Diceros bicornis minor: one gene and its partners. The protein of the gene in region 4 purifies or fractionates together with the protein of the main gene of each other region. This does not show direct contact. Links are inferred from orthologs where the notes say so. Each region holds a gene or a part of one and is shown on either strand. Other genes may lie near its edges.

Region 1 (7,563 bases), on a different chromosome or scaffold from region 4:
TTATCAGTCCGATTTCCATCAAATGACAGAACTTCTCCCTGGATCTCTGACAAGCTCCCAAGGATGCTCCAGACGGCCTTATGTGATGGGTGCTCCTCACCAACAAACAGCTTTCTCTTCTCGAGGGCCTCCTTCAAGTCAATGTAGGTGATCAGAGTTTGCACTTCAATCACGGCTCTTCTCCTGGCTTCCCGGATGCAGGGGTTTTTTTCAAGACTTACCTCATCCAACTGTCCAATCAAACCCTGCAATTCTGTTTTGGAGCTCAGGTACAATTCAGAAGGATTTTGTGCTTGAAGAAGCTCATTTTTAATTTCCCTCATTCTCTTGAGGACCTTTTCTATTTTTAAAATGGAATGATTCTGTCTCAGGTCAAATGCGTGAGTAGTGCCTGCTTCCTCCTCTAAATCCAAATATTTCAATAATTTGTTGATATCTTCTACTACCTCCCTTCGGTAGTTTCTGATTTCTGTACGCCCGCACACATCTAAAGCATCCAGATCAGCCATCAGCCCTGAGAGCACACAAGACAAGTGCCTGCAAGTGTCGTTACTGTTCACCCCCATCAGGAGTGCAATCAGAGTGCCTCTGGCCTTGTTCACTTCACACATCACAGAGTTAATTTTGGCAACGGAAGGATGCGCATCCTCGGAAAGCGGCAGGGAAGGCTGCTTTTTCACGCAGTCTTCGATAATCTCTTGCACTGCACAGATTTTGGTTAAAGTGTGATACCTTGCTTTCCGCAAGGAGACCTTCCCTCCAGTTTTAACATGTGTCAGCCTCAGAATGATATCTTGGATGCCTTCTTCAAATTCATCTGTCACACAGTTGCCTCCACTATAAAATGGCACAATCTTCTCTTCCACCAGGGACTGGGCTTCTTTAAAAATGTTCTGTATTTCAATCCGGTGTGGGTGGTTTGCATTCTGCTCCAACTCTTTGAGAAGACGCTCTGTCTCTTGTGCTGCCCTCTTCCTAGCTTGCTGAATGTCTCCTTTTCCTTCTGTATCTACAGAGTCTATTTCAAAAAGTTGTTTTGTTAGAAACCTCTCCAGTTTCTTGTAATTCTTGTCATCTGACAGGCCACTGAAGCCAATTACTTGCTGTTCTATACTTTTCACTTCCTTTTGGATTTCCTGAAGCCTACTAATAGAAGGATGTTGGTTGCCCATATCCATACTTCTGTTGTGTTCAGTTTCACAAGCACTGAAAGATGACAAGAATGATAACCGATTACATCACAAAGTCTCTGCAAAACGGTAACTGTATATTAATTCACTCTAAAATTCTCATTTTAAAAAGATATACCTAAGAAAAAGGGCTTGTTATTATTGTAATCCAAATGACAGTCATACTCAAGCAGTGATTAACCAACTCCCTCTCCTGAAAATAATATAAACACAGCAGCGATTAAGAACAGACAGGGGTTACTGCAGCGTCCAAAACGACCTGGTGCTCTGGGCCTGTGAATTTCAAGTTTCTTCAAGTGTACAAGACGGTAGCATGTGTCTTCATAAGTACAGCATGAAGTTGAACTATCACCTTGGAAAGAGCACAACTATCTTAGCTGCTGACACTGGAAGCTGTTTTTCTGGCACCAGCAGGGCACCTTTGTGGAATGTGAAACAGTAGCTCTTCTAACCTTCCAAACGATACAGTACCACCTAAGCACCCCACCTGGCCAAAGAGCTATGCCTAGTTTCCAGAAAAAGTAACTCAAAGCGAAACAAATACCAGTGGTTCCCAGACACCCCCCAAAGTCCCCCTTTCTACATTCTTCTCCATCCCTTTATGCACTTCTACAAAGCTACCCTGTTTCTCATCTCACCCTTTTAGTACCTCACAAATCTTCTCTACAGAGGTATGGAATTCCACAGGAAACGCGACTGGGATTACATTAAAGGCACCATCTTGGGCTTTGGAGGCCCGAGTACCTCCCCATGCCTATCATGCTCCCCTCCTCCCCCAATACATCCCACAAAAATGTGACAACTATGAATAATTCATTCACTAGCCTCCCATTAAGAGTCCAGAATGACTTAACGCATTTTTTCCCTGCTCTTGGGTTTCTACCAAACAGCTCACTGGAAGGGGCTGGATAATCAATTGAAACCAATCCCTTGTGGGTGTTCGAGCCAAGAACGTGCCTTTGGAGGACAGGTTGCCTCCCTCCTCCCCTCCCCTCCTCACCCTTCCCTCCCAGCACTTTACCCGGAAGAGGTCTGAGCTGATTTGGTCTTGGCTTCCCGTAGGTGAGGTGGCGAGATGGAAGATCAGCCCTTTACGGGGTGCAGCACCGGAGATGGGCCCCAAGCAGCATCGCTCTCACCCCTCCCGGCTAGATCTGAACGGGGCAGCCGGTGAAGGGGCCGGCGGTGGCGGCGGCAGCTACCGGCCGCTGCGGCCGCTCTGGGCGTCTCGCCCGGGCCCCCACTACGCGCCCGCCGGCCTGACCTCACAATGGCCCGCGGGGAAGGGGGCGGCTGGCCCGGAGGGAGGGGAGCCCGGCCCGTAGGGAAGGGAGCCCGGCCCCGCCGGCCGGCGGCCCCATCGGACCCAGGGCGTGGGGGCGGCGCCGACGCCCGTCCGGGCAGAGCCGGGTGAGGCGCCAGAGCACAGGTCGCCCGCGGATGCCCGCGCCGAGGGGAGGCCGCCCCCGCGGAGGGAGGGGGCCCGCGCAGCCGCTGCGCCGCGCTCACCTGTGCCGCCCGCGCCATCGCGCGCTCCGCCGCCGACACCCCGCGACTCCGCAGCTCCCGCCGTCGCCCGAGCCCGGCAGCCCCGCCCCCGGGCCGAACGCCCTCCGCCCTTGGAAAGCGTCCTCTGGCGTCCGCGCCGCACCTCGACCCGCGCCGAGCCCGCCGCTAGCCGCCTTGCGCGGCAGTCTGTAATGGCCGCGACAGTGGACCAGCCGCCGGGTCCCCGTCCGCGCCGCCCCGCTGCCCCCGCAGCCCGTTACACGCAGGGAAAGAGCACTGTCGGCCGCGCCGCTCCCCACTCTTTCTCTTTCTCTCTCTCACACACTCTGGCTTTGCGACCATGCCGTAAGGCAGCCCTTCGCGCCGTCGCGACTCTGCCGTGCGTCGCGGGAGCCGGGAGGCGTGGGCCATGGCTGCTTTGAGGCCGGGGTGGAGGACAGCTCTCTCTCCTTTCTGCCGCGCCTTCACTGGCCCCCGCTATCAGCTCGCCCCCGAGCGCGGCGCTGAGCGCAGGGATGCGGCACCGAGCCGGGTAAGCGGGGTTTCCGGAGAGGTTGGGCCGAGAGGGGTGACCGCAAGGGGCGGTAGACCCGGGCCGCGCCCCTCAGGGGCACCTGCGTGCCCCGCTGCGGCGTCAGCCGAGTTCCCCGGGAGCAGCGTCCCCGAGCCGGCCTGGGCCTGGCGCAGAGCTGCGCACGCGCCCTGGGGGCACAGGGGCCTGAGGAGGGGACAGGGGTATGGAGAGTGGGGAGGCCCCGGGGCCACCAAGTTTCCTACGTCTGCCCCCTTGGTCTGATGGAACTGAGGGGGCTGTTGACAGAACTTTTGCTAGTAGAGCAGAGTCATCTAGTAAGTTTGTACGTACCTTATATCTTCTCGAGGATCCTTCTTATATTTGAAGAGCTCTTGAGGTGCACAGCGTGTATTTATTTTTTGGCTTCGTTGAGATTATTAGTGCTTTTTTTTCAAGCGATGTCTAACTTTATCATTGTATCTTGTAGGACTTCACGTTGAAGGGTTTTTCTTGTTTGGAAACTGTGTGCATATACGCACGTTACTGGCCGAAGATCCACAAAGATTAATGTCTGTAGCAGCAAAGAATGGCAAGCAGCTCTTATAAATTGCGTTTCTGTGGGGAAGGATGCTTTGTTTAAGGGAGTCCTAGGCCTGGATTCCAACTGACAGGAAAATGTTGACTAGCAGTGTGGAACGGGTTGCAGATAAAATATTTAAACAAAGCATACAAATACTAACACTTCACTTTGTCAACAGGCTAACGAGGGAGGCTGGAAAACCTGGTTTAAAGAGTAATTAAAGAAGGATGAAAAAGAGCCAGTTAAGAATTTCAAAATGTGCCTGCCTGTAAATTTTCATTTCTTTTAGTCTGTTGCTATTATGTTTTTATAAATGCGGCTTTGAAGTTCTGTCTAGTTTACAGTTTAGACAGGAAGTTACCAAGACAACTGGTCACTCAGGTCTCTGGCTCAGTTCCCTGTTACAGTGGCCAAAGTCCTGTCTTCTGTTCCTAGAGCATAGAAATCCACGCACATCTCAGTCTTTGGGCAGGAGGATACTCAACAGGTATCTGAAGATGCTCTGGGAGGCAAACTGAACATCAGCCAACTGTCTCCAGAGTAAGGACTTAACCTAGCTTATTTTGTTAAAAGTAAAGAACAGCACCCAAAAAAAAGAACAGCACCCAAACAAGGCTTTCTCTGTTGTCATACAGCCTTTCGTTAAAGTAAATCTTACCGTGGGTCTGATCCTCAAGATGAGACCTCTCTGCCTTTTGTGGTCCAAGTCACGAGGAAGCCAGTGCTGCGCACCTGTTGGACTGCCTAGACCTGTGAAGGTGATGAGTGTGATGAGGCTGAAGAGTGGAGCAGCTGATCCATGAATCACACCTTGCCCAATTCTAGCATCGTGACTTGTGTTGTTTTTTAGGATGTGTGCCCCATTATGCTAGATATCGTATGGAACATAAAAGAACAGTTCCTGCCTCAGGGCGGTTTGCGTTTCCTGGGTTTGGTCCCAACCTTGTGTGCTTCCTGGGTACAGGGCTGGTTCTCCAGGTAATTAAATTCCTGCAGCACAGAGAGATTGTTGTCTTCAGACTTCGGTTTTGAATATTAGGTCTTCTTAAAAGTAGCAGGTCGTAAACCTTTTGCTTTGTTTATCTAAATAGATATATTTTAATCCACTATGTCTAGTTCACTCTACATATTTTTCATTAATTCTTTGTCCTTTACTTTCTGACCTTTTAGGACCTACGCAATTTACGCCCATCTCTAATCTCTGGGTACCAGTTTTTAATAGAAAAATATTATAGAACTTAGATTTAGGCACTGCTTTTCCTTCTAAACTCAACTTAAAAATTCAGCTCTTAAATGTTCTCCAGCTATTTCATACCTGCTTATTCCTTATCTGTGTAGTTTACATCATTGGTTCTTGAACTTGTCTGCACATTTGGAATCATTTGGAATACTTGAAAGAATACTGGGGCCCACCCGCAGAAGTTCCGATGTGATTGGTCTGGGATGTGGCTTGGGCATCAGGATATTTATTCATTTATTTTCTTGGTTTGTCTAGTTCCTTGGCCCCAGGTTTAGTGAGGTGTAACATCAGGATTTTAAGGGCAAGTCTAATAAGCTCACAAGTTGGAGAACCAGTGGTTATATTATGTGCATTAACATTTGCTTGTAGTCCTGAATTACATTAACATTTATAGTAATAGTTAACATTTATTGAGCACTTGCATGCGCTGTTCTAAGAGTTTTACATATTTTCACTTATTTAATCCTCACAATTCTGTGAAGTAGGTGCTTTTATCATCCCCATATTACAAATGAGGAAACTTAGGCACAGTAAGATTGAACAATTTCCTCAAGGTTGTAATGCTTGCACATAAGGAATATACATGTTATGGTTACTCTATCCAGAGGATGATAAATAACAATTTTTCTTCTATTAATTTTTGGATCAAAAAGAACACAGAAACAGGCCCTCAGCAGGGAGAGGTAATATTTACAAGTAACAAATAATGGAACTACTGGTGTCATCTTTTGCTTACATTTTCATTAAGTAGAATGATCTTCAAACCCCCAAGTGTAGATTCAGAATAAACATCATAAGGAGGAAGTTGAAACTCAAGATAAATGAGAAACTGGTGAGAGGTCTAGTCATAGGATTTTAAAGTTAATTTGGATATTTCTAGTATTTACAAGGCTTTCCATAAATAGTTGGAAAAAATTAAAAGCTGGGGCGGGAGGACTTTAAAAACCATGTGGTTTAACTCCATTATCAGAAAGATGAGGAAACTGGAACCCAGAGAGGTAAAGAGACTTGTCTGATGTTACATGGCAGAGTAAGGATTAAAACTGAGTTCTTTCCATTCTCAGTCCAGTGTTCTAACGTTTCCAAATGCTTTTTCTGGGCCGGCCCAGTGGCGTAGTGGTTAAGTGTGCACGCTCCACTGTTGCTGCCCGGGGTTCGCAGGTTCGGATCCCAGGCGCGCACTGATGCATCGCTTGTCAAGCCATGCTGTGGCGGCATCCCATATAAGGTAGAGGAAGATGGGCACGGATGTTATCCCAGGGCCAATCTTCCTCAACAAAAAGAGGAGGCTTGGCAACAGATGTTAGCTCAGGGCTGGTCTTCCTCACACACACACACACACACACAAAAAAAATGCTTTTTCTTCATCTAGTGAAATGAGAATTACAATAATTTATTGATTTTCTTTTTTTGTTACTTATGGGAAATTTAAAACATGTACAAAGATAGAAGAATATAAAGAATTGCTATGCATCCAATACCCTGCTTCTACAGTTATCCACTTCTGGCTGTTTATTTCAACTTTACCCCCATCCAGTCCGTCTTCCCAGATAATTTTTTGGCAAATATCAGACTTCGTATTTCTTTTTTTTTTTTTTTTTTATAAGGAAGATCAGCCCTGAGCTAACATCCATGCCAATCCTCCTCTTTTTGCTGAGGAAGACTGGCCCTGAGCTAACACCTATTGCCAATCCTCCTCCTTTTTTTTCTCTTTTTCTCCCCAAAGCCCCAGTAGATAGTTGTATGTCATAGTTGCACGTCCTTCTAGTTGCTGTATGTGGGACGCTGCCTCAGCATGGCCAGACAAGCGGTGTATCGGTGTGCGAACCCAGGCCGCCAGTAGTGGAGCGTGCACACTTAACCACTAAGCCATGGGGCCGGCCCCCAGACATCATGTTTCATCTGTAAATATTTCATTATCCTTAAAAGATATGGACTTTAAAATATACATATATATATATAAACATAATACCAAGGTCACACCTAAAAATATTATGAAAATTCCTTAATTCCAGCAAAGGTCCAGTGTTCAAATTTCTTTGATTGTCTTAGAAACGTCGTGAATGTTTTCTTTTACAATTTGTTTGTGTCAGGATCCAGATAAGTTCTACACATTGCGATTGATGATTTTTTTTAATCTTTTTTTTTTCTTGCTGAGGAAGATTCGCCCTGAGCTAATACCTGTTGTCAATCTTCCTCTTTTTTTGCTTGAGGGAGATTGGCCCTGAGCTAACATCTGTGCCAGTCTTCCTCTATTTTGTATGTAGGTCACCGCCATAGCATGGCTGGTGAGTGGTGTAGGCCCATGCCCAGGATCCGAACCCGTGAACCCCAGGCTGCCGAAGTGAAGCACGTGGAACTTAACCACTATGCCACAGGGTGGCCCCTGATTGATTTTTTTTTAGTTCTCTTTTAATCTATAGGTTTTGATTCCATCTTCTTTCTTTTTTTAAGTAATTTATTTGTTGGGGTTGGGGGAAGGATGTGTCCGTTAGAATTTTCCATGGTCTGGATTTTGCTGATTGCATTC
Region 2 (7,445 bases), on a different chromosome or scaffold from region 4:
GGAGTTCTGTGCCCACCCCGCTGGGTGCCCCTCCTCCCCCCACTGACCCTGACCTATTGGAAGGGTACAGTAAAGACATTCACCTCAGAGAAGGGAATGATGCTATGGAATTTCAACCCCCTTCCCACCCCTGTGTATAGCTGAAGCCATTGGTATCTGCACCACTGATCACCCTGATGCCCGAGGGCTTGTGGACCATGGAGAAGGACGCGTTGATCAGCTACTCCTTGACCCCAGGCTTCCTCAGCAGCCCCTGGGACTGGATTGGACTGTATAAGGTGATGTGGCAGGCGAGGCAGGGAGTCCCTGAGCCACACCCCTCTGATTGATCCATCCTGAGGGCTCACGGGAACTGGGCACAGAGACTGAACTCACCCTTGTCCACCCCAGGGGTCCTTGCCCACCTAGAGGCTGGCAGTGAAGGAGAGAGAGGCATCCAATATGATGGCCAGCCCTAGGAATGAGACGACCCTCTCCTTCAGATTTGCCGTAGGTCCCACGTCCTCCATGACCACTGACCCCCCGACCCTCCCTCCCACAGGTGGGACTGCGCCACATTAATGACTACGTGTCCTATGTCTGGGTCGGGGACAACCAGATCTCCTTCAGCGTCGGGCTGAACCAGGTACCTGCCTCCCTTCCTGAGATAGGTATTCCACATTTCCAGCAGGTGGGCTTGCCCGAGCACTCCTGTCTTCTGGAAGGAATAGAGAGCTGGATAACTTGTCATTGAGAGCTGGGTGGGGCCCAGGACCATGGAGCTGACCCCATTCCTGTCCATCCCCCGCTCCAGGTATACATGGACATCAGCGATATCCCAGAGACTGAGGATCAGTTTCTCCTCTGTTACTATAGCAACAGTCTACATTCTGTGGTGGGGATAAGCAAACCCTTCAAGGTAGGAGATGCTGGTGGGGTCAGGGGAAGGGTATCACAGATGATGTGAGCCCATCATCAGTTCACCGAGGCCACAGGCCTAGGAGCCAGCCCACATGGTGGAGCCGCATCAGTTGGGGAATGGAGTGATGACACGGAGGAGAGCCTGCTCTTCTCCCTTCCGCTCACCACCTGCTTTATTCCTGCAGATCTGGCCTCGCTCGCTCTTTGGGGAGGATCTACTGGATGAAGCCCAACCACAGTTCTGAGCTGGGACGAGTGAATCCAGGGCGGAGGCCAGAGCTGGCAGCCAGCTCTGCCTACCACTGCCAGGAGCATTGGGGACCCAGCCCAGCCCTCTGAAGAGGGAGCAAGTATCCTCCACCTCCCAGGGGGAGCTCTAGCACACTCCTTTGCTCTCTCCAATCTAGATCTCTAGAATCAGCCTCTTAAATACAGGTTTTTGGTACTGAGATGTGAGTGAAACCAGCTAGTTTGTCAACAGTGAAGACTTGTGGACAGTCCACCAGATGTGGGAAAGACCCTCCAGCCTGCATCTCATTTTTTGATTTTCCCCCCACACACTTCTAGTCCTGCCCAAGCAGGCCTGCCAGGCACATGCCCCATCTGGCACAGGCCTGCATTCTTGTCACGCCATCCTGGGCCTCAGGCTGCCTGGGAGGGGGAGATACATTTGTACAGGCTCCATAGACTGGTTAGCACAAGCAGCACTGGGTTCCAGGAGTCTTGGCATTTTGTTGCCTGTCCCCCTGAGGGATGGGCAGAGGGTCTGGGATCCTTGCTTTCAGCAGAAGCAGTATGACTAAGTGGGCAGGATGAGGGGTCCCTCCACCCAGGCTCTTTGGTAGGGTTGTGGACAGGTTGATGAGCGTCCTTCTGCCAGCACCCCCTCGCCCCCATGGAGTATGAACCAGAAAGTTCCAGGGCCTGAACAGAGAATTGGACCCAGGTTCACTTCTGCTGGTGGGTCAGGCTCCATGCCCCCAACCTGCCCTCTTGTGAAGGGTTGGCCAGGTGGTAGAGGAGCTGTGGCCACAGGCTTTTCCAAGATAGTCCTTGCCCAGCTGAGCTCATCTGCCTGTACCCTTGCCTGCAGTCATTGGCCAGAAACCTATCTAGACTGCTCTGGGACCTAGAGGTGGGGGCAGGCAGAGAGGAGAGCCAGAATCAAGACATTTTGGAGAATCTGGCACTGGGGGTCTTCAGAGAGCATTCTCCAGGTGCTGCGTGGACAAGGTCTGTCCCCACTCCCACCACTTGCCTCCAGCCACTGGTGACTCAACAGCCCTTCTCGCAGGAGAAGACACCTCAGGGAGCCCGCTCTGTGACTGTCATGCCCATCCTATGATCTGAGACAGGGCCACTCCAGTTGCTGTACGTTCCATACTCCACCCTGGGAGCTGTGGGTACCATCTAGAACTGTCCCCTTGGCTTTAGAGGGCCGTGGCTGTCTGTGTTCTGTGTCTGTTGCATTGGGGCATAATTAGAAACATGGCTTTTACACTTGTTTGTGACTCCTTCATGATGGTGGTGGGAGGGGGCACATGGTGATGGGCCGTTGCTAGACTCTAGGACGAGGGCCCTGTAGATCCAGACTAGACTTTCTGTGTCTGCGAGTGACAGATGTTGCCTGGGTAGGAATGAGATGAGGTTCTGGGATGGTGGCCCTCTGGGTCCCTGGCCCAGTTGGGGCATGCTACCTATGCTGTTGGGCACTTAGTTTATTCCATTGCTAAATAGAATGGGTTTCTTGGAACTCAGAAAAGGTGCTTACTCTGCTCTCACTGGTCCATCCCTCCTTACCTGTCACTCTCTCACACCTTAGTCTTGACCACTGGTCCTGGGTTAAGCTATCCAAAAATGTCACCATCTTTTCTCTCTGTGCCGCCTCTCCCCAGATCCCCATACCCCGAGGTTCCCATTGTAATCTCTCTCCCTGTCCCCAACACACACACACCTGAGGAACCCTGAGCCCTCGCACTTGCCCACCTCATTCCTTCTCACGTGCACAACCATTTGTTTGGCAGATGGGGAAACCAAATCTCAGAGAAGTGGCATGAGCCCTCTGGAGTTACACAGGCAGCTGTGGTGTTACGCAGGACCAGAAACAGGACTGGGGTCAAGACCTAGGTTTGAATCAGTTCCATCTCTATCCACATAGGAGTCTCAGTTGTCTGTAAAGTACAAATAATGAACCTATTCACAAGATTATTGTGAGAGAACAATTGCAAAAAACACAGAGCAATCCTATACCTACCTCCTCATTCTGATTAATGTAGCCCTGGGCCTGGGTCTCAGGGCTTCTGACTCCAGGGCTCCCCCGTTTCTCCTGCTGTGGAGCATTTTTGTCCTCCACGTGCCCACCTCTCCCCTGCCCCCTTAAGTCTTCACAGACCCCTACCCCGCCTCCTGTTGCAGGGCGCTCCTTGCCTGGGAGGGGTGAGTGCAGCAGTGATTGAGAGGCGGAAGGGGAAGGGGGAGTGCTCTCCCTCCTCTCGGCCCCAGTCAGGATATGGCCGCTCTGGGCCCAGCCATGACCCGCTGGGTGGAAACAGGAAATATGTGAGACTCCGTGTGTGCTGGGTCTCTGCGCCTGGCTCCGAGGCTGATAAGGGCCATTGTGTGGCTGCCGGGGATGAGCCTGCCTTGGATAGATGTGCTTCCCGGAGGAAGGAAGGAAGCTTTGCTGGCCTTTCCTGGGCGGGGGAAGCTGTGGGGAGGAAAGGGAAGGGTGCCTGGGGGAAGATGCCTGCCCGAGGGGCTGTCAAGACCAGCAGAGGCCCACTGGCCTCTGCCCCTCCTATGCCAGTGTCTCCCTCTGGAAAGGTTGCTTTCCCTCATCCACTTCCCCCTTCTCACTTCCTATAAGGAATGGCTGGAGACTAGAGGGCTCAGTCCCAGGCCAGGAAAGTGTCAGCTGTGATTTAGCAACAATAAAGACAGAAAAACAGGAACATGCTGGTTAGGGGGCACATGAGGGTACTATGGAAAAGCAAGAAGCGAACAGAGCTAAGGCTGCCCACAGCCAAGGAACCCAGGGACCAACCTCCCAAGCGCTTGAGGCTCCAGAGGAGGGTGGGACAGGGGCTTCCTCAGAGTGTCCCCTGCCTCTCCAGCTAAACCCCTCTGCCCAACATGGCCATCCCCCACCAGCCCTAGCCTCTCAAACTCAAGGGGCTCACTTGCTGCTGTGGGAGGCAGGCAAGCTGGGGAGCATGCAGGAGGGGCAGTGCCTATTGATGGATCCTCTTGGCTTAGGGCAGGATGTGCGTTCTGGTTTGGGGAGTGGTCACTGTGCTCTCCAGCTTTCACCAGTGAGTGGGCAGCGAGAGAGGCCAGCCATGGAGCTGCTGGGGGGAAAAGCCTCCTACCCTTTGACCTGGAGCCCAGGGTCCCCCACGGTGGCTGCACTGCATCAGCTCCTCTGGTTACCTGGGACAACAGGCATTTCCTCCATCCCTCAGCCCCTCCTCTTCCTGCCCCAACCCACTGGGCCAAGAGGCCTCCCAATCAGACCTGGGCTGCTCCAGCTGTGTCCTGAGGAGCTGGACCAGACACATCCCCTGGGGCTGGAGTTGAAGCTGAACCAAGTGGCCATCCCGGCGTGAGACCAGATTCCTGGCTCCGGGAGCAGCCAGAGCCAGTGGGCAAGCAGGCAGGCAAGCTTTTGCTCAGAGGCCCCAGTGCTCTGCACGCTGGCTATCCACAGGCAGAATGGCGCTGCAAGTGGAGCTGATACCCACCGGGGAGATCATCCGCGTGGTTCATCCCCACAGACCCTGCAAGCTTGTAAGCTGGGATGCTCTGGGCTGGGAGGAAGGGTGGCAGTGTCTCCCCAGGGCCCAGTAGCCCCTCTTAAGCAAACCCCTCAGGAAAGTGGTGAGCAGTGGGGAGGGGTTCTGATCCTTGGTGGGACCGGAACAGATTGGACAAGAAGGGGTGAGGGTTTAAGCACCACTAGGGGCAGGGTTTTTCGAAGCAGGAATCTGAGTTTGAACCCCTTCTCCTCTGGTTCCCTGATCCTCAGGGGGCTATGAACTGGTGACAGGGCTGCTCTGAGATCAAAGGATCTATGCGCTCCAGGCGCATAGTACAGGCTCAGTTAATGTCTCGCCTTTCTCCGTCTGGCCCAAAGAACTGGGACTGGCCAACTCAGAGCAGTAGCGGGGTGGGGGTAGGGGGGAGTGAAGGGAGGTAGTCACAAAGGGACAAGAACTGACCCGGCCTGGCACGCAGGGGAGGGTCGGGTTTGCTCTGGGGATGCAAAGGGGCCCTAGAATGAGGAGGGAGAGAAAGCCATCAGATGCACCCACCCACCCAACACTGCAGCGAGTGGGCCGGGTCTTTGGCTGGAAGGGGGGTGCGCGCGCGTGTGTGTGTGACAGTGACGCGCCTCGTCCCAGGAGCTGGTTGCGGAGTGTGCGGCACCAAGTCTCCGCGGACGCGGGCCGGGGCCAGGGCCAGGGCCGCCAGGGCCGGGCGGGGCCGGAGGGAGCGCGCGCGCGCGCGCGCGCCGAGGCCTGGGCCCTGCCCGGGATGACGACAGGCAGCGGCCCGGCCCCGGGCGGGCCTTGGGCGGGGAGAGCGTGCCAGGGCCGAGCACTGGGGAGCCGGCCACGCCGCCCAGCCTGGCCCCCGCCCACGCACGCGAAGAACCGAGACGGTGGGTACACGGGGCCCGGGCGCCGGGCGGCCAGCAGCCGCGTGGCCCGTAGAGGCCTCCGCTGGCGGGTGGGATGGGGGCAACGGGCAGGCGGCCAGGCGCCGAGCTACCGTGCGGGAGGCGGGGGTCGCTGGGGCCGAGGGTCGGCTCGGCCCGGGCCGTACGTGGTCCCAGGACCCGCTGGCGCCGGAACTAGGCCGGGTAGAGACTTAGATTACTTGCGGGTAACGTGAGGGCGGGAAGGAGCAGCTGGGGTCCCGGGACCCAGGCACCCTGCGCGCCCTTTGGGCCCCTCCACCAGCCAGGCTCTGCCTCTGGGTTCCGCACAAGCTGCCCGAGCCCCGCCCCTTCCCCTTCTCCGCCCCCCGGACCCAGCCGCGCCAGTGGCTTCTGCGCGCCTCGGCGTGAGTGTGGTAGATGGGGGCCTCCGAGATGAATGAGAGAATGAATGGCTGGCCCAGGGCCTTATGCAACTCCCAGCGCGCTCCGGCCTCCTGCTCACACTCCCGGGCTCTGTGATTCATTCATTTATGCAGGCGTCTACGAGGGGTTATTGAGCCCCGACTGTGTGCCGGACTGGGTGTACGCTCCGGGCGGGAGCAGGCTACTGGGAGAGACCCACAAGAAAACCGGCGATTAGAGCGCAAAGCGATAAGGAGGGGGCTGTGTGTTGGGGATAGTCGGAAGGGGTTCTGGAGGAGGTGATACCTGAGCTGAGTCTTCAAGGATGACTAAGAGTCAGTCAGGTGGGGAGGAGGGAGGGTGCGCTGGGCCAAGGAAGTTGCAGGTGCAAAGGCAAGAAGCTTAGAGAGCCACATGTGGCTGGTGGCAGGGGTGGGAGCAGCTTCTCCTGGCTCTGTGTGGTGGTGAGGGAGGCATGGGGAGAGAAGGGACTGGAGAGGGCCACCCCTATGGTCACACAAGAATGCAGGAGCAGGGGGGTAAACTGAGGACAGAGGGGGCTGCTGGAGTCTATACTCAGGGGCCTGGCAAGAAGCAGTGGGTGTGAAGTACAGGCTCGGCACATGGGCTTGGCACATGGACCGGTGCCCTATAAACCTTCACTCTATTAACATGAGATGTTAATTGATTGATTTGCATTTGTAAATACCACAGGCTGCTGTGGGGAAATGGATTGGAGGAGGAAGGCAGGGAGGCCAGTTTGGAGGCTGCTGCCCGGTCAGGAGTGGAGCAGTGATGGAGGAGCAGGGGGTGGGGGGTTTGGCGAGTGTTGACTCTTGGTGTGAGGAGTGGAGGGACAGGACAGGCCTTTTGAGGTCAGGTGGTGATGACTAGCTGGAGGTGCCTCCCTTCTCTCTACCTACAGGATATTAAACAAGAAGGATAGGGGGCAAGGTGCTCTGTTTACTTCTGCTGGACCCCCAGGCAGAAGTGTCTAGCAGGCCAAAGGCCCATGGCTCCGAAGCTAGAGTGTACAGCCCCTGACTGGGGTCCTGTGAGCAATTAGGTAGAGCCCCTAAGGCCCCACTTTTCCTCCCCATTGCCCCTCACAACGGTTCCCTTGAGTCTAGAACAGTCCTTGGTGGGGCAGCCTGGGCCCAGACCTAAGATATATTCGACAAAGATAAATTGAGGACCTGTTCTGCACCCAGCACTGCGCTGCAGGTGAGAGAGGCTAGGGTTCTTTCCACTGCCCCAACAGGTCATGAGGCTGCCTCTGTGGAAATCAGCTTATAGCAGCGATCTGGGGGTCTTCAGAATACCCTCTCAAGGCCTGGGTGGCCCTGGGCTGGGGGAACATTTGAGGCTGCCCATTGCCCTCCCCTCTCCTCCAGAGGTCAGGCTTGGGTGCACCTGGCCCACACTAGGTAAAGGGCTCTGGATGACCCAGGTCTCCTGGGCCTGCCCCATCCCTGCCTTTGCT
Region 3 (7,155 bases), on a different chromosome or scaffold from region 4:
CCCCGGGAGGCAGGACGTGCAGCATGGATCACGCAGGGGCTGAGCTGTCCGGTGTGGTGCCTGCAGCTCACCCGTGTGAGAGCAAAGCAGAGACGCTCACGGCCCCTCTGTCCTTGTCTCCCAGGTGGACCTGCAGAGCGAGTGGCCAGGAGAGCCGAGCGCCTCACCGGCCCCGCCCCGCCTCCCCGGGCTGGTGCACGGCTGCTGTGCTGGGTGACAATGACCCGGGCACCTTGGCCACCGCAGTCAGCCTCCTTCCTTTCCCGGGGGAACAGGCTGAGTCCTTCAGGTGCCCCTGTGGTCCCCGTGTTCAGCCAGGCTGAGCAGAAACCCGGGGCGTCCCCAGTGGGAACAGCGACTCAGGTCCAGGGCACATCGCACACCTGCTCTGCAGCCCTCGGGGTGCCCGGAGCTGTCTCAAGGTCACTGGGTTTCTCAGAAGCAACCAAGCGTCCGTCTCAAGGTCACCCGGTTTGTGCCTCTAACCAGAGGTGCCAGCTCCCCTGCCCGGGGCACCCGAGCCCCCCCAGCCCTGGATGCAGGGAGCCGGACGGGCTGGGGGCAGCGTGGCTGTGCAGTCAGCCCCGACCCCCGGACCCCAGGAGTGGCCGACCCTGAAGTCCCACACCCATGACTGTGCCCTTGAACCAAGGACCCACCCACCCGAGGGAGACCCCCGGGCCTGACAGTGAGGGCCTGATGACACGTGAAAGCCGACGGAGGGTCCGTGGGGTCCCCAGACCGCCCACTCCCCCTGTCTCTGCTGGACTTGCAAAGAAGTGAGAAAATATGAGTCCTCCACGACCCGTGTTTGCATTTATTAGAACTAACACCCAAAAACAGTGCTTTCAGGAGATGGTGGGAGAGAAAGTGAGTGTGTGTGTGGGCCCCCATACAGGTGTTTATTCTTTAGGAGACAAGATTTCAAGCTTGGAATTCTGGGCTGGGCAGCCTGACCGGACCCCCGCCCTCCAGGCAGAATTCATTCATTCCAAAAATATTTCAGCACACACTGCATACGGTACAGTCTAAATGCATTACTGGCTGCAACATCAGGGGTCGGGGATGGGGGAAGGAGCTAGGACAAGAGACCGTCAGGACCACACCCGTGTCCACAGCGCCCCGGCCCCTCCCCTGTCCCCGTGGGTCCTCATCTTTCGCCCTCCCGGTGCAGCCTCATGACACCCCACTAGACCACGTCACACAACGCAGGACTGGAAGGAACTGCCTGTCGACTAGGACAGACTCCCCGGGCCCAGCTCACAGCACGTACCCCCCAAATCCCTCCTCACCTCGATGACTCACCCCCAGGGGTCAGCTGAAACCCTGAATCACCTCCCCCGTTTCTTTCAATCACCCACCCCCTTCTCAGATGCTCTGGGGTGCAGATTCAATCAGATCACCTGCTGGCCCAGCCACAGCTCATCTCTCACTCCGTCCGAGCGCCACCGAGGGCTGGGTCTTGTCTCCTCGCTGCTGGGTCTTGGAACTTAAACCCTTGGAGGAGACGCTCCCCACCTCCGCTTCCCACTCACCCCACCTCTCCCTTTCCAGGCCCAGGTGCACAGTCTACCTGGGCTCTCCCCTCCCAGGTATACGGAGATCTCGGATTCCGGCGTGCACAGCCCCGCCACCCTCCCAAATCAGCCCTAGTGGGGCAGGGGAGCCATGACTCGCGCGCGCACGAGTTGCCCACGGGCAACACTTTCTACAGAACACATTCTGAGCCCCAGTCAGCGATAACAGGAAGAGACCACGTTCATTCATTCACTCATTCACTTGTTCATTCGAGAAGCATTCCCCCAGCACCGTCCTGAGGCCAGGCACAGGCGGCCAGGGACCCCCGGGCGCTCAGAGGAACCAACACACATCATACTGGGCTGAGCGGTGGGGTGGCAGCCAGGAATGCAGGCGGAGCTCGGGGAGGGGACGTCCCCACGCCTGGGGCAGGGGAGCGGGTCACTGAGTTAACGGCCCCCCCAGCACGGGAGGAATGTTCCAGTGTCCCATGACACAGGCTCTGAGACAGAAACACTGGTTCCAGGGCCTCACCCGCAGCCCCGGCCTGAGCAGATGCCAACCAGCTGGATCCTGAAGGAGCAGCTTCAGCTGGCTGGCCCCCGCTAGCCCCGTGACAAGCCTCGCCAGGGTCCCTCCCCATCACTGGGGTCCCTCCCGGCCCAGCGAGCTGATCCCGGCAACAAATGAACAAGAGGAGATGCTTTTCTCCTCTGAGACACGGACCCCTGAGCAGACATCTCGTCCCCCCACACCCCACGGCCGCCCTCTGTCCTCCACTCCAGAGCCCCATGGGGGCTGCGGGCGTGGACCTCCAGGGACTTTCTCTGCCCCTCTGTCCCGGTGAAGCCTCAAGAACATGCCAGAACCTCCAAGGCCCTTCCAACAGCAATGCCCCCAGGGCCAAGACGCTGACACTCCTCCCTCCCCCACAGCTAGACCACCCTCTGCACCTGGGCAGCCCCAGGCACTGCCCGTCCCCTGCTTCTCCCTGGAGGTCAAGACCGGACTCAGGAAGCCATGGTCAAGGACACGGGAGACTGGGGAAATCACCGGCTCCCAGTGCCCAAGGCTCTTCTGGGTGCTTCCCAGGCCTCCACCCACCCGTGAACCCATTGCCAGGGGGGTTTTACCTGCTGGTGGGGACGCAGGAGACCAAAAAGAAGCAAAGGGGGCAGGGAGAAAAATGAGAAAGGGAGGGAAGAAGACAGAGACAAACAGCGGGAGAAAAGAAACGGGATTCTGGCTCCCCGGTTGCTACTGAAGAGCTATTTGGTGCTCCTTACACCGTGTTCAGTTCGCGACGGTTACGACCTGTATCACTTAGTTACAATTCACTAAAAAGTCTGCAACATTTCAAAACACCTCGGCCTCGGGAGCGTCCCTGTGCATGTCTGTGTGTGCACGAGCATGTGTGCAAATGCATGTGTGTACACGCGTGCATGAACTTGTGTGCACGTGTGAGGGTGTGTATACGTGTGCATGAAGTGTGCATGTGCGCGGGAGTGAGCGTGCGCACGCGTGGCGTGTATGCACGAGCATAAGCGTGAGTGCATGCGTGTGAGTGTGAGCATGTGCCGGGCAGCACACGCCCTCCTGCCCCTCCCGGAGCCCCCACGTCGCAGCGCCCGGAGCGCCACCCGGAGTCCCGCCATGGGGTCAGGGTTCCGGGGCCCCCGCGGGAGCTGGGGTGGTCCCGGGGGGCTCGCGCAGGCCCCGCGGACGGATAGGAAGAGGGGCCGGGGTCTCCCGGGCAGGGGGCGAGCACGGCCTGGAGAGCCGGGCCGCGGGGGCACGTCTCGGGGGGAGCGAGTGTAGGGGGTAGGAGCGCCCTGGGGGTCGAGGGTCCGGGGGAGGGGGGCTCGGCCCCCTGCTCTGGCCCTGCGGGTCACGGCCGGGGTCCGGGGGTCAGCGGGGCGAACGCGGAGGTCACGACCACGGCTCGGGGGTCCGCGGAGCAAGCCCGGGGGGTCACGGCCGGGATCCGGGCTCAGCGGGGCGAAACCGGAGGTCACGGCCAGGGCTCGGGGGTCGGCGGGGCCAGCCCGGGGGTCACGGCCGAGGTCCGGGGGTCAGCGGGGCGAAACCAGAGGTCACGGCCAGGGCTCGGGGGTCGGCGGGGCCAGCCCGGGGGGTCACGGCCGGGATCCGAGATCAGCGGGGCGAAACCGGAAGTCACGGCCAGGGCTCGGGGGTTCGCGGGGCCAGCCCGGGGGTCACGGCCGAGGTCCGGGGGTCTGCGAGGCGAGCCCGGTGGTCCGCCGGCCTCCCCTACCCACCGCCGCCGTCTGTCGCCCTCGCGCGGGCCCGGCTTGACCTTGACAAGGTCACGGCGTCCGCCAAGCCCCCGACCCACAGGGCGCATGGGCGGGGCCCGGCTCCCGACATGCCTCGCGGCGCGGAGCGCGGAAGAGGCGGGGCGTAGTCGGCGCCACAGCCAATGGGCACGGCGCGCGGGTGTGCGGGGCGGGGCGCGGCGCGGCTCCCGGCAGCCTGCGGGGGCGCGGGATCCGGGAAGGGGAGGGGCGTCGGCGCGCGGCGCAGCCAATGGGCGCGGCGGGCGGGGGCGGGGGCGGGGCGTCGGCACCTTAGCGGCTGCGCGCTGGCCGCCCCGTCCTTTCGGTCCCGGCGGCGGCAGGGCTGAGCCAGCGGCGGCTACCCACGGCTCTCCGCGTCCCCGTCCGCTCTCCGCCCGCTGCGCCGCGCGCCCCGCCACCATGACGGAACAGGCCCTCTCCTTCGCCAAGGACTTCCTGGCCGGAGGCATCGCCGCCGCCATCTCCAAGACGGCGGTGGCCCCGATCGAGCGGGTCAAGCTGCTGCTGCAGGTGCGGGCGGCCTGCGGACGCGGGGGCCAGGGCCTGGGCGCGGCGGAAGCCGGCCGGGCCGGCCACGGGCACCGCTCCGGCGGGCGGCCGGGCACCGGAAGTGGGGCGCCGCGCCGCTTTGTCCGCGCGCCTCCGGCTTCCGGGGGCGGGCCGGGCGCGCGTCACGTGGGCGCTGCCGCATGGGCGGGGGTGGAGCCGCGGGCGCGCACGCGCTCTCCGCGTCGTGGACGCCTGCGCGTGCGCTTGGAGTCTGGCGTGCCGGGATGCTGCGGCGCTGGCCGAAGGGCGCATGCGCGCCTGCTGGCCGCGTGGACAGACTCTTTGGTGTGGGGGGGGCGGTGCCTTGGGCGCGCCACGGGGTTCCTGCTAACGCCCTTTGGCGTTGGACGTCGGTTCTTGCTCCCCCTTTTATACTCCGTGTTCTGAACCAGAATAAACTATCATTGTGTGTTGTTACAAATGTTGCAAGCTGCTGGAAATGTATCGTTCTGGTGGCAGCATTTGTTGCCTTAGAAATGTATGGCTCTGATGGCAACATTGTTGCCTTAGAAAATGGATTGGTCTGATGGCAACAAGATGGATCGCTCTGATGGCATCATTGTTGCCTTACAAAATGGATCGCTCTGATGGCAACATTGTTGCCTTACAAATGGATCGTTCTGGTGGCAACATTGTTGCCTTAGAAATGGATCGTTTCTGGTGGCAACATTGTTGCCTTAGAAATGTATGGCTCTGATGGCAACATTGTTGCCTTACAAATGGATCGTTCTGGTGGCAACATTGTTACCTTAGAAAATGGTTTGCGCTGATAGCAACGATGTTGCCATGTCTGTTGGCAACACTGTTGCAGCGACAAACAGTTACCGAGTTAAAAGAACTGGTGTTTCCAGATGTGAGGTCTCTGGGCAATTCGAAGTCCGCATGCACGAGCTAGTCTTTGGAGCGGACATCTTCAGTGGGGGTCGTGGTGGGTGTTAGAGAAAGGCCCCCGTGTGACCCGCCCCCATCGCCCCTCAGGTGCAGCACGCCAGTAAGCAGATCGCGGCTGACAAGCAGTACAAGGGCATCGTGGACTGCATCGTGCGCATCCCCCGGGAGCAGGGCATCCTGTCCTTCTGGAGGGGCAACCTGGCCAACGTCATCCGCTACTTCCCCACGCAAGCCCTCAACTTCGCCTTCAAGGACAAGTACAAGCAGATCTTCCTGGGCGGCGTGGACAAGCACACTCAGTTCTGGAGGTATTTCGCCGGCAACCTGGCCTCTGGGGGGGCGGCCGGAGCCACCTCTCTCTGCTTCGTCTACCCCCTGGATTTCGCCCGGACCCGCCTGGCGGCCGACGTGGGGAAGTCGGCCACGGAGCGGGAGTTCAAAGGCCTGGGGGACTGTCTGGTGAAGATCACCAAGTCTGACGGCGTCCGGGGCCTGTACCAGGGCTTCAACGTCTCCGTGCAGGGCATCATCATCTACCGGGCCGCCTACTTTGGCGTGTACGACACGGCCAAGGGTAAGTGGGTTCTCCCGGGCTGCTGACACGGCGCCGCTGGCCGGGGGGGCTTCAGCAGCTGACACTCATGTTTTCCCCGTTCTGGAGGCTGGAGTCTGAGACCCAGACGTGGGCAGGGCTGGTTTCTCCTGAGGCCTCTCTCCTTGGCACGTAGACACCCGTTTTCTTTCTGTGTTTTCACGTGGTCGTCCCCCTGTGCATGTACATTGTTGATGTCTATATGTCTTAATTTTGCCTTCTTGTAAGGATGTGAGTCTTATTGAAATAAGGTTGTGCTATATCATTTCATTTTATCCTGATTATTTCTGTAGAAAATCCGGTATTCAGATACAGTTCTGTTCTGAGATCTTGGGGGTTGGCAATTCACTGTGATTTTTTGAGGGGGCACAGTTCACCTGTGAAAGTAAGCCCCCCCGTCAGTGAGGGCCCAGGCCTGCTGGCACCTCTACAGCAGAACGGCCTCAGGTGTGGCATGTCCACTGTCCGAGCCTCGTGCATCCGCTGCTCTGGAGAGGCCACTCCCAGGTGCTCTGCTGGCCCCTGGGCCAGTCCCACTGGAGCTTGCAGGCGGCTTCCCCCTGTAGCTGACCCCACTGTGACCTCTCCAATGTCGCCTGGTCCCGGGAGCTCCGTGTGGAGCCAGGGGGCGGCAGAGTGCAGCTGTGGGGCCTAATGCTGGTGGTGACCCTGCAGGCATGCTCCCCGACCCCAAGAATACCCACATCGTGGTGAGCTGGATGATCGCCCAGATGGTGACGGCTGTGGCGGGCGTGGTCTCCTACCCCTTCGACACCGTGCGGCGACGGATGATGATGCAATCGGGGCGCAAAGGAGGTATCTTCTCTCGGGGCTGGGAGGGGGCTGGGCAGCGGGAGGTCAGAGACGTTCTCGTAGGGCCTCGTGGCCTCAGCCTGTGGGATTCTGGGGCCATCGGATAAGGAGTTTCCCAAGGTGGCCTGGCTTAACAGGAGGCTCTGGTCGATGGCAGTGACCCATGTCCAGGCAACACTGGATCCGGTTCCAACAGCCTCTTTTCTGGCCTTGCCTGCAGACTTGTTCATGCCCGTGTCCTGGGTCTGCCTCCCTTAACTGTCTCTGGGGCGTCCACGGGCCCTGAGTGGACCAGGAGTTGGAGGTGGGGTTCTGTGGAGGAGTTCTGTGTGTTTCATCCCCACCCCCCAGCAGTAGGCCCAGTGGGGCTGTGAGCAGGGGCACTGGGCATCCAGAGCCTCCTTTCCCGCGGTTCTGACTCCAAGTTGCCCGGATGGTGGCATCCGAGGATTAGTCTCCCTACCGTGTCTTTCG
Region 4 (7,359 bases):
TATTGATATCACAGTAGGATATATATCCTACTACAACTTTTTAAAAGCCAAGTATTATATTTTTTGCTATTCAGTCATGTTGATACATGGAGCTCTAGTTCATTAATTTTCACAGATTTATACAAGTCTATTATATGGATATATGCAATTTAAGTGTTGATGAATATTCAAGTGGTTTTCATTTTCAATATAAGCAAAAAATGTTGCACCGAGCATTTTTATATAAATTTCCCTATGCACATGTGAGAGTTTCTCCAAGGAATGTTTTTGGAGTGTAAGTGCTGGGTCATCAGATACATATATCTTCAGCTCTACTAGATATTGCCATACTGCTCTACAAAGTGACTATTCTGATTTACACTCCCACCAGTTTTGTATAAGTATTCTAGTTGCTCCACATCAAAGCCAATCATTGGTATCATCAAACTTTAAATTTTTGGTTAATCTGAGGGCTGTGAAATGGTATAGCATTATGGCTTTAATTTGTATTTCCCTGGTTACTAGCGGAGTTGAGCATCTTTTGATAGATTTAATGGCATTTCCTCTTCTGTAAATTGCCTTTTATATCTTTTGTTTATATATAAAATTAGACTATTTAGAGGCCAGCCCTGTGGCCAAGTGGTTACAATTCCACGTGCTTCGCTTTGGTGGCCTGGGGTCATGGGTTCGGATCCCGGGCGTGGACGTACTCCACTCATTAGCCATACTGTGGTGGTGACCCACATACCAAATAGAGGAAGACTGGCACAGATGTTAGCTCAGGGCTAATCTTCCTCAAGCGAAAAAAGAGGAAGACTGGCAACGGATGTTAACTCAGGGCCAATCTTCTTCAGAAAAAAAAAAATTAGACTATATTTTCCTCTATAATTTGTGATAGTTCTTTTTACATATTCTTATTCTTCTTTTGTGGGTTATATACGTTGCAAAAATATTCCAGCCTGCGGTCATCTTTTAACTTTGTTGATGGAGTCTCTTGTATGTTGAGTTTTAAATTTTAACTTATCTGAATTTAACAATCTTTTCCTTCATGGACTGTGATATTTATGTTTTGTCTTTCCCTACATGAAGGTCATAAAAAGGTCATTTTTCCCCCCAAAATTTTAGTTTCATTTTATATAAAAATATTCAATTCACATGGAATTTATTTTTTTATATGGTGTGAGGTAAAGGTATGATTTGATGTTTTTCCTACAATCATTGGTCTCAGATTCATTTATTACATAGTCCATTCTCTTCCCACTGATACACAATGCAACATTTCTCATATATATTTTCCATATATGTAAGGGTATGTTTCTGGGTTCTCTGTACTCTTTCACTGGTCATTTTGTATAGCTGTGCCAATAATATGCAGATAAATTTTTATAGCTTCATAGTAAGATTCAACACACTGCTTCATATGTTGGACAAGTTATGCCTGGCATAAGGACATCAGGCTGAAGGGATGGGTGGAGTCTGAAATCCAAATCCTGCTTTGGACACCATAGCACAGGGCTGTGTCTGCCTGGAAGGAGGGGCACATTTTTCTAATTCACAGAAAGACATTGTCAGACAATTTTTCCTCCTCTGGGAAATCGACAAAGGCTAGTACAGGCCCTGAATTAAGATCTAATTGGGCAATTTTCCCACTTCCTCCTTCTTCAAAAGTGTCTCGGTTGTTCTAGGTCCTTCGCTCTTGTTGAAAGCTATAAAAAAATCTTGCTGAGATTTTCATTAGACATGCATTGTTTTTTTATTACTTTGTGGAGAACTGGCATCTTTTTGATATTTAATCTTCTTGTTAATTGATATCATCTATCCATTTATTTATGCCTTGTTAATGCCTTTTAATACAGTTTAATAATTTCTTCACAAAGGTTTTAAAAATATTTTGTTAGATCTGGTCCCAAGTTTTCTCTTTCTTCCTCATTGTTGTTACTGTGTGCAGACACACACACATACAATTACATTTTATAACTGCATGTTACTGATGTTTAGGAACACAATTTTGTATAATTATGAACATACTTTTTTTATACTTGTACATTCACAGTGAATTTCCTGTTCAAAACTTTAGTCCTTTTTTCTCCTGGGGTATCTATGGAGTGTGTAGGTGTTGTTTCCCCCACACCCCACTGTGATCTGTAAGAACTTTTGAAAGATTAAGGCTAATTGTTTTTTTGTCATATATATTGCAATTTTCTTTTACTTTCTTTTACTTTTACTTTGCCATTTACTTTTTACTTTCATGTTTTTTCTTTGCAGGAAATTTAAATTTTTATGGAGTCACATGTACCAATCTTCTGTTGTTTTTTTCTTACTTTTTATGTTTCTTCATACCAACATTAAATAACTATCAATCTATATTTTCTTTTTAAGTTATTTTCATTTAACTTTTTAATCCATCTGGAATTTGTTTTGGTGTTTGCTGTAATTAGCAATGTCCATTTTATTTTTTTCTTCCCAGGAAGTTAGCCTAATGTTCCAGCACTATTTTATTCTCCACTGAACACTACCTCTATCATGAATTTGTGCCCGTAGCCTTCCTTTTCTGTCTTGTTAACTATCTGAAGAGTTAATAAGTCTTGGGATTTTAATCAATCAATTAAACATTTTTGAAAGCTAAGAGGATACTTTGCCCTACTACTGCAGTAGTTTGAGAGAATGCTCCCAACAGAGAATTCATGTTTCCACACCGCCTACCCCCAGTCTGGCTAATATAGAGTAGACAGTGAATAGGCAGTGGATGGGTGAAAGAACTGAGGAAAAGAGGAGATACCTTTTTACTTAGATTTAGTTTTCTTTGGACGGGAGCTAGGTTTTGATTTTTTGCAAGATAATAATCCAGTAGACAGAGAAGGAGAAACTGATGCAGAGGAATGGGAAGGAAGGCATGAAAGGGAACATTCCTAGGAATGTTTGAGATATCGATTGGTTAGTCAGAAGTTGAAACAAGTTCAGAAACCAGTTAGGAAGGATATTCCGCAGCTATGATAAAGATGACAGGGTTGAGAATTTTTTCTTTTGTTTTGTTTTCATTATGGAAAATTTTATGCAGAGGAACTAGTACCATAGACCACATGAACCCATCACCCATCTTCAACAATTATCAATTCAAAAGTTAGCATTGTTTTGTCTCTACCTCCACCCATTTCACCCCTTTCCCCAACACTGAATTACTTTGAAGCAAATCCTACCCATTCTATCATTTCAACTGTAAATATTTTAGCATGTGTCTGTAAAAGATAAAAAGTCTTTATGACAACAAAATATATTCACAATATCTAGGTCGAATTAGAATTGCTATCTTACTGACTTAATGTATTAAGGAAGCCTAGCTCATTTTGATTAAAGTGGTAGAGTGTAAAGAACCTTCAACTGGAGTTAAGAGATTCACCGGGGTTTGAGTTCTGGCTCTCAACCTTCCATCTGTGTGACTCCAACAATGCTCTTCGCTTAACTCCAAATCTCAATTTCCTCATTAGTAAAAGAAGGATATTGGTAGTTGTCTTATCCATTTCAGAATTGTCATCAGAATGAAATAATAGAAGTGAAAACAAACGATCTAAAATTGTGAACTACTAATTTCCTGTCCAGTCATCTCCTTTGTAAATGATCCCCAGGACAGATCATCTTAGGCAATAGATCGTCTTTGTCCAGCCTTGTCTACAGTGTTGCTTGCTTTGGTTTCTCTTCCTAAAAAACATTACTTTGGTACTTATTTTTTAACTTGAGGGTTATAGACGCTGCGACTCATAAGTAATTCTGAATACCAAGAGAACAATGCTTAGGCTTGTATCTTTCACCTTTTCATTTCATTTACGTTGTGTTTCTCTTAGTTTTAATAGCGCCAAGAACGAACTGATTGTTTTTTGGTGCGCCCCCATTATCAGGATCCTACCGAGTGCAAACTCAGATTTTCAAGTTAATTTGGTCAACAGAGCTTCAGATAACAGGGAACAATTTTTTATTTCCTCCTCTACAAAGAGCCACAGCAATCATGGAAAAACATTTAGCTGAGCACATTTTGATTGCTAATATCTCTCTCCATCCTTGAGGGGGAAATTACTCATCTCCCTATAGGGGGAACTCGAAAGAGAATGTTTTCCTAAAAGGGGCCAAGTGGGCGGCGTCCTCTCTTCCCAACGCCCTGATTTCCATTCTTAGACCTGGAGATAGGCGGCGGCTTTAATTTTTCTTCTTCCTAGGTCCCAGACCTTCCGCGCGGCTGAAGGTGCCCAGGCCGGCGGGTGGCGGCGGGCGGCGGGCCGGGCTGCAGACTGCGCGCCTCCTCCCGCCGCTGCAGGGCTCGGGGCCTGGGGCCGCGGCGGAGCCCGCGGAGTCAGTTTCTTCCTGCGCGACTCCCGGCCGCGCCGCCGCGGCGAGTGGGATCCGGTCCCGGGAGGCGGCGCCCGCCTGGGGTCCCGTCTCGGCCCGCGCAGGGACCCGCTCTCGCCGCGTGCGGACCGCCCACCGCGGTTCTGCACGGCGCCGTACCTCGGCCGAGCCTCTCGCAGGCCACTGAGCTCGTTTTGGGGGCCTGAGCGGGGGAGGAGGAAGCCGAGGAGGAGGGCCCGGGGACGGGGAGGGCAGCGCAGGGCGCGGAGCCGCCGCCTTCCTCATAAACAGGCGGGCGTGGGTGCCGAGGGGGCTGGCGGGCAGCGCTGGCCGCGGGCGGTGAGCTGTGCTCGGCCCGGAGCAGCGGCCGGCGCCCCTGCCCCTTCCCGGAGCGGCCGGCCTTGGTGCGGGAGGGGCGGCAGGTTTGGAGCAGGGTCCATCATGGCCAGTGGCAGCTGTCAGGGGTGCGTGGAGGAGGACGAGGAAGCTCTGAAGAAGTTGATAGTCAGGCTGAACAATGTCCAAGAGGGAAAACAGATAGAGACGCTGGTCCAAATTCTGGAGGATATGCTGGTGTTGACGTACGCCGACCACGGTAATCATTTCCAAGGAAACTGTTCCTTTATCCCCCTCCCCCCCGCCTCTGTTGCAAACTTTCTCCCCCGCACTCTGGAGCTGCACAAAGCCTGGACTTTTGAGAAGCCACCAACTCTATACTTCTTAGGGTAGAAGGGAGCTGAGAATTCTAGAAAGGTCTTGCGCTCACTTCTTTTGCTTTCTCCCCCCCCCCCTTTTCCGACTTAAAAGGAGGGCCGTGAGTCGTGACTTTGCTTCTTTTCCCTCACCCACTTTCTTTTCCAGCCTCCAAGATATTTCAAGGCAAAAATGTCCACGTGCCTCTGTTGATCGTCTTGGACTCGTATATGAGAGTCGCTAGCGTGCAGCAGGTAAAGGAGCTGTTTTCATTTCGCCCATTCCCCGATCACTTTGGAAATAGATGTTTTTCTGTCAGTGTTATATGCCCAGAGTTCTGGATTGTTTCTGAGATTTGGCTTGACAAACCGCTGACTGATTTTAAGACGGAAGCGTTGTCAAATCATTATCAAATGTTAACGGTGTGAAAGGGCCCACTATGTGCTCCCTAATTGTCTTAAAGAAGTAACTTTATACAATTAACTGACAAAATATGGATGGTGGTGAGAGGAATAATAATGGGTTGAGTTTTCCGTTATTGGCTATGAGTTCATCAGTGTTTAGATCAAATTATCTAAGACTCTTCCCAATATACAGCATGCCCTAGAGATGACAGCATTGTGAATAGTTTGGGAAAGGAGAACAGTTAACAATAATAAAATTAATAAAAATAAAATTAAGTAACTGGCAAACTCGCATAGGTTTCAGGGTTTTCTTTTTTTTTTTTTTTAATTTGAAGACAGATTTCTAGCCTTCTTTAGTTGTAGTATACCTTGTATTATCTAAAGAAAGTGATGTTTTATGATTCTTCTATAAGTTTAAATTTATACTTTTCAACTGTTTTCATATAAAATGAATGTAAAAGTGAAACATTTAGAATCTGCCTCATAGGAAACCCAGAAATTTGCTAAATTCTTAGATATGTTAAAAAGGGAGCCCTAAGATGATAATTAAGGATGATTTACAGTCAAAACAAGATTAGTGCCTATCGTGTTCACTTCCTTTGTAGATTTTGAGATTTAAAGAACTGAAATCAGTTCTGTCATTTGCATGTTAAGTCCTGAAGGGAAAGAGAGTTGAACTTTAAACTCTGTCAAAGTGCAGTCAGAAAGTCAATGTTTCTTAATATATGCTTGAGTGTCTAGACAGATGTAAAAATTATCTGGATCTCTAAATCTGTATCTATCTATCTTTGTCTTTATGCTTATCTCTGTAGCCAGCAATGTCTAGTTTGGGTGAACCATATACCTAGCTTCTTTTCTGGGAGTATATTTATATCTGGGATAAATGGTTACTTTTATTTTTCTTCAACTGAAATATTTCCCATTTGACTATTGATTTTTAGGGTGTTAACATGCAAAACCATGAGAAGATGAAGGCTTGATAAAGACAGTGTTCTTTTTAGCACCCAATGTCTGAATTTTGCCCGTGGAATATGAGTCACTTTTTCACACTGGCCCGTTGTGCTTGCTTCTCTCCACCCAAATCATCCCTTCTTACTTGCCTGTGCTTTTGTGTTCAAAAGTGCCTGCTCTGGCAGCCCCCATTCCCTGGACTCTGTGCTTGGTAGAATCACCCCTGCTTGATACCACTCAAAACATTTGGACCCTGGGTGGCTTTGATCTGCAGAGTCCAGAGGAGGCAGAGCTAGACTTGAGAATGCAGAGGAGCCTGGAACATAACCACTACCTAATTCTTCTTCGTTTTAGAAACTGCCCAGGCCTGGGCATGTTTGTCTGGAGTGGTTATGAATGTCACTCAGTATCTTTTCCCAGTGACTACCAGAGACAAAGTATGCAAGAAAATGAGGAATTGTCTTCTGATTTGGTAATTGAATGGAATAGAATAGTTTCAGCACCATATGTGTATTAGTCTGCAAAGAGTATTATGTAGCTTACATCATTTGATTCTCACTGGACTCTCACTGCCCTCTCAGATATCTCACTGGCTATTTTTTCCTTAGTAGGTAGCTCATTTAGGATCACAGAGCTAGGGACAGAGCCAGGACTCAAGTCTTCTCACGTCTTCCAAATCTCTTTCCATCATACAATTCCCTAGCTGCTGAATTCACAAGCTTTTCATTGCAAGTAAAAAGTGCAATGATTTGGTACAAATATTGTGGCCATGGTAGGCATAATGGCACTATCAATTTTAATTATCGGTGGTCTTATTAAAGGGATGAAGAAAGAGGTCTTTCTACTGATATTATAATACTCCATTTAAAAGAAAGTGGGTTTTTATCCTTCAAATTTCTTCATATTACTGATGTAATTAGTATAGATATTCTTTAATGCTTTATGTGTTGAATTAGCTGGAAGTGCTCAATTAAAAGCTTTTAATGATGAATTT

Evidence for each region.
Region 1: the proteins of LRRK2 (region 4) and BAG5 purify together in Homo sapiens (co-immunoprecipitation; 3 studies listed by BioGRID and IntAct, with this or other methods). This does not show direct contact. The link is inferred for Diceros bicornis minor from reciprocal best matches to the Homo sapiens genes LRRK2 and BAG5.
Region 2: the proteins of LRRK2 (region 4) and MYO1C purify together in Homo sapiens (affinity purification with mass spectrometry; 3 studies listed by BioGRID and IntAct, with this or other methods). This does not show direct contact. The link is inferred for Diceros bicornis minor from reciprocal best matches to the Homo sapiens genes LRRK2 and MYO1C.
Region 3: the proteins of LRRK2 (region 4) and SLC25A6 purify together in Homo sapiens (co-immunoprecipitation; 3 studies listed by IntAct, with this or other methods). This does not show direct contact. The link is inferred for Diceros bicornis minor from reciprocal best matches to the Homo sapiens genes LRRK2 and SLC25A6.

The regions. Positions count from the first base shown.
Region 1 is NC_080763.1:48,214,805-48,222,367, forward strand, and holds the start of BAG5 (BAG family molecular chaperone regulator 5), read right to left. Parts: upstream 3,013-7,563; 5' UTR 2,700-3,012; intron 2,674-2,699; exon of another isoform or gene 2,212-2,673; intron 1,384-2,211; exon of another isoform or gene 1,309-1,383; intron 1,207-1,308; 5' UTR 1,179-1,206; coding exon 1-1,178. Other genes in the region: cytochrome c oxidase assembly factor 8, read left to right, coding at 3,109-3,231. UniProt on the Homo sapiens protein: Co-chaperone for HSP/HSP70 proteins. It functions as a nucleotide-exchange factor promoting the release of ADP from HSP70, thereby activating HSP70-mediated protein refolding.
Region 2 is NC_080757.1:16,228,935-16,236,379, forward strand, and holds the start of MYO1C (unconventional myosin-Ic), read left to right. Parts: upstream 1-4,433; 5' UTR 4,434-4,611; coding exon 4,612-4,686; intron 4,687-5,471; exon of another isoform or gene 5,472-5,560; intron 5,561-7,445. Other genes in the region: INPP5K (inositol polyphosphate 5-phosphatase K), read left to right, coding at 141-278, 542-625, 794-898, 1,086-1,145.
Region 3 is NC_080781.1:1,084,636-1,091,790, reverse strand, and holds the start of SLC25A6 (ADP/ATP translocase 3), read left to right. Parts: upstream 1-4,147; 5' UTR 4,148-4,235; coding exon 4,236-4,346; intron 4,347-5,363; coding exon 5,364-5,850; intron 5,851-6,543; coding exon 6,544-6,684; intron 6,685-7,155. UniProt on the Homo sapiens protein: ADP:ATP antiporter that mediates import of ADP into the mitochondrial matrix for ATP synthesis, and export of ATP out to fuel the cell.
Region 4 is NC_080756.1:28,440,840-28,448,198, reverse strand, and holds the start of LRRK2 (leucine-rich repeat serine/threonine-protein kinase 2), read left to right. Parts: upstream 1-4,341; 5' UTR 4,342-4,758; coding exon 4,759-4,912; intron 4,913-5,178; coding exon 5,179-5,264; intron 5,265-7,359. UniProt on the Homo sapiens protein: Serine/threonine-protein kinase which phosphorylates a broad range of proteins involved in multiple processes such as neuronal plasticity, innate immunity, autophagy, and vesicle trafficking.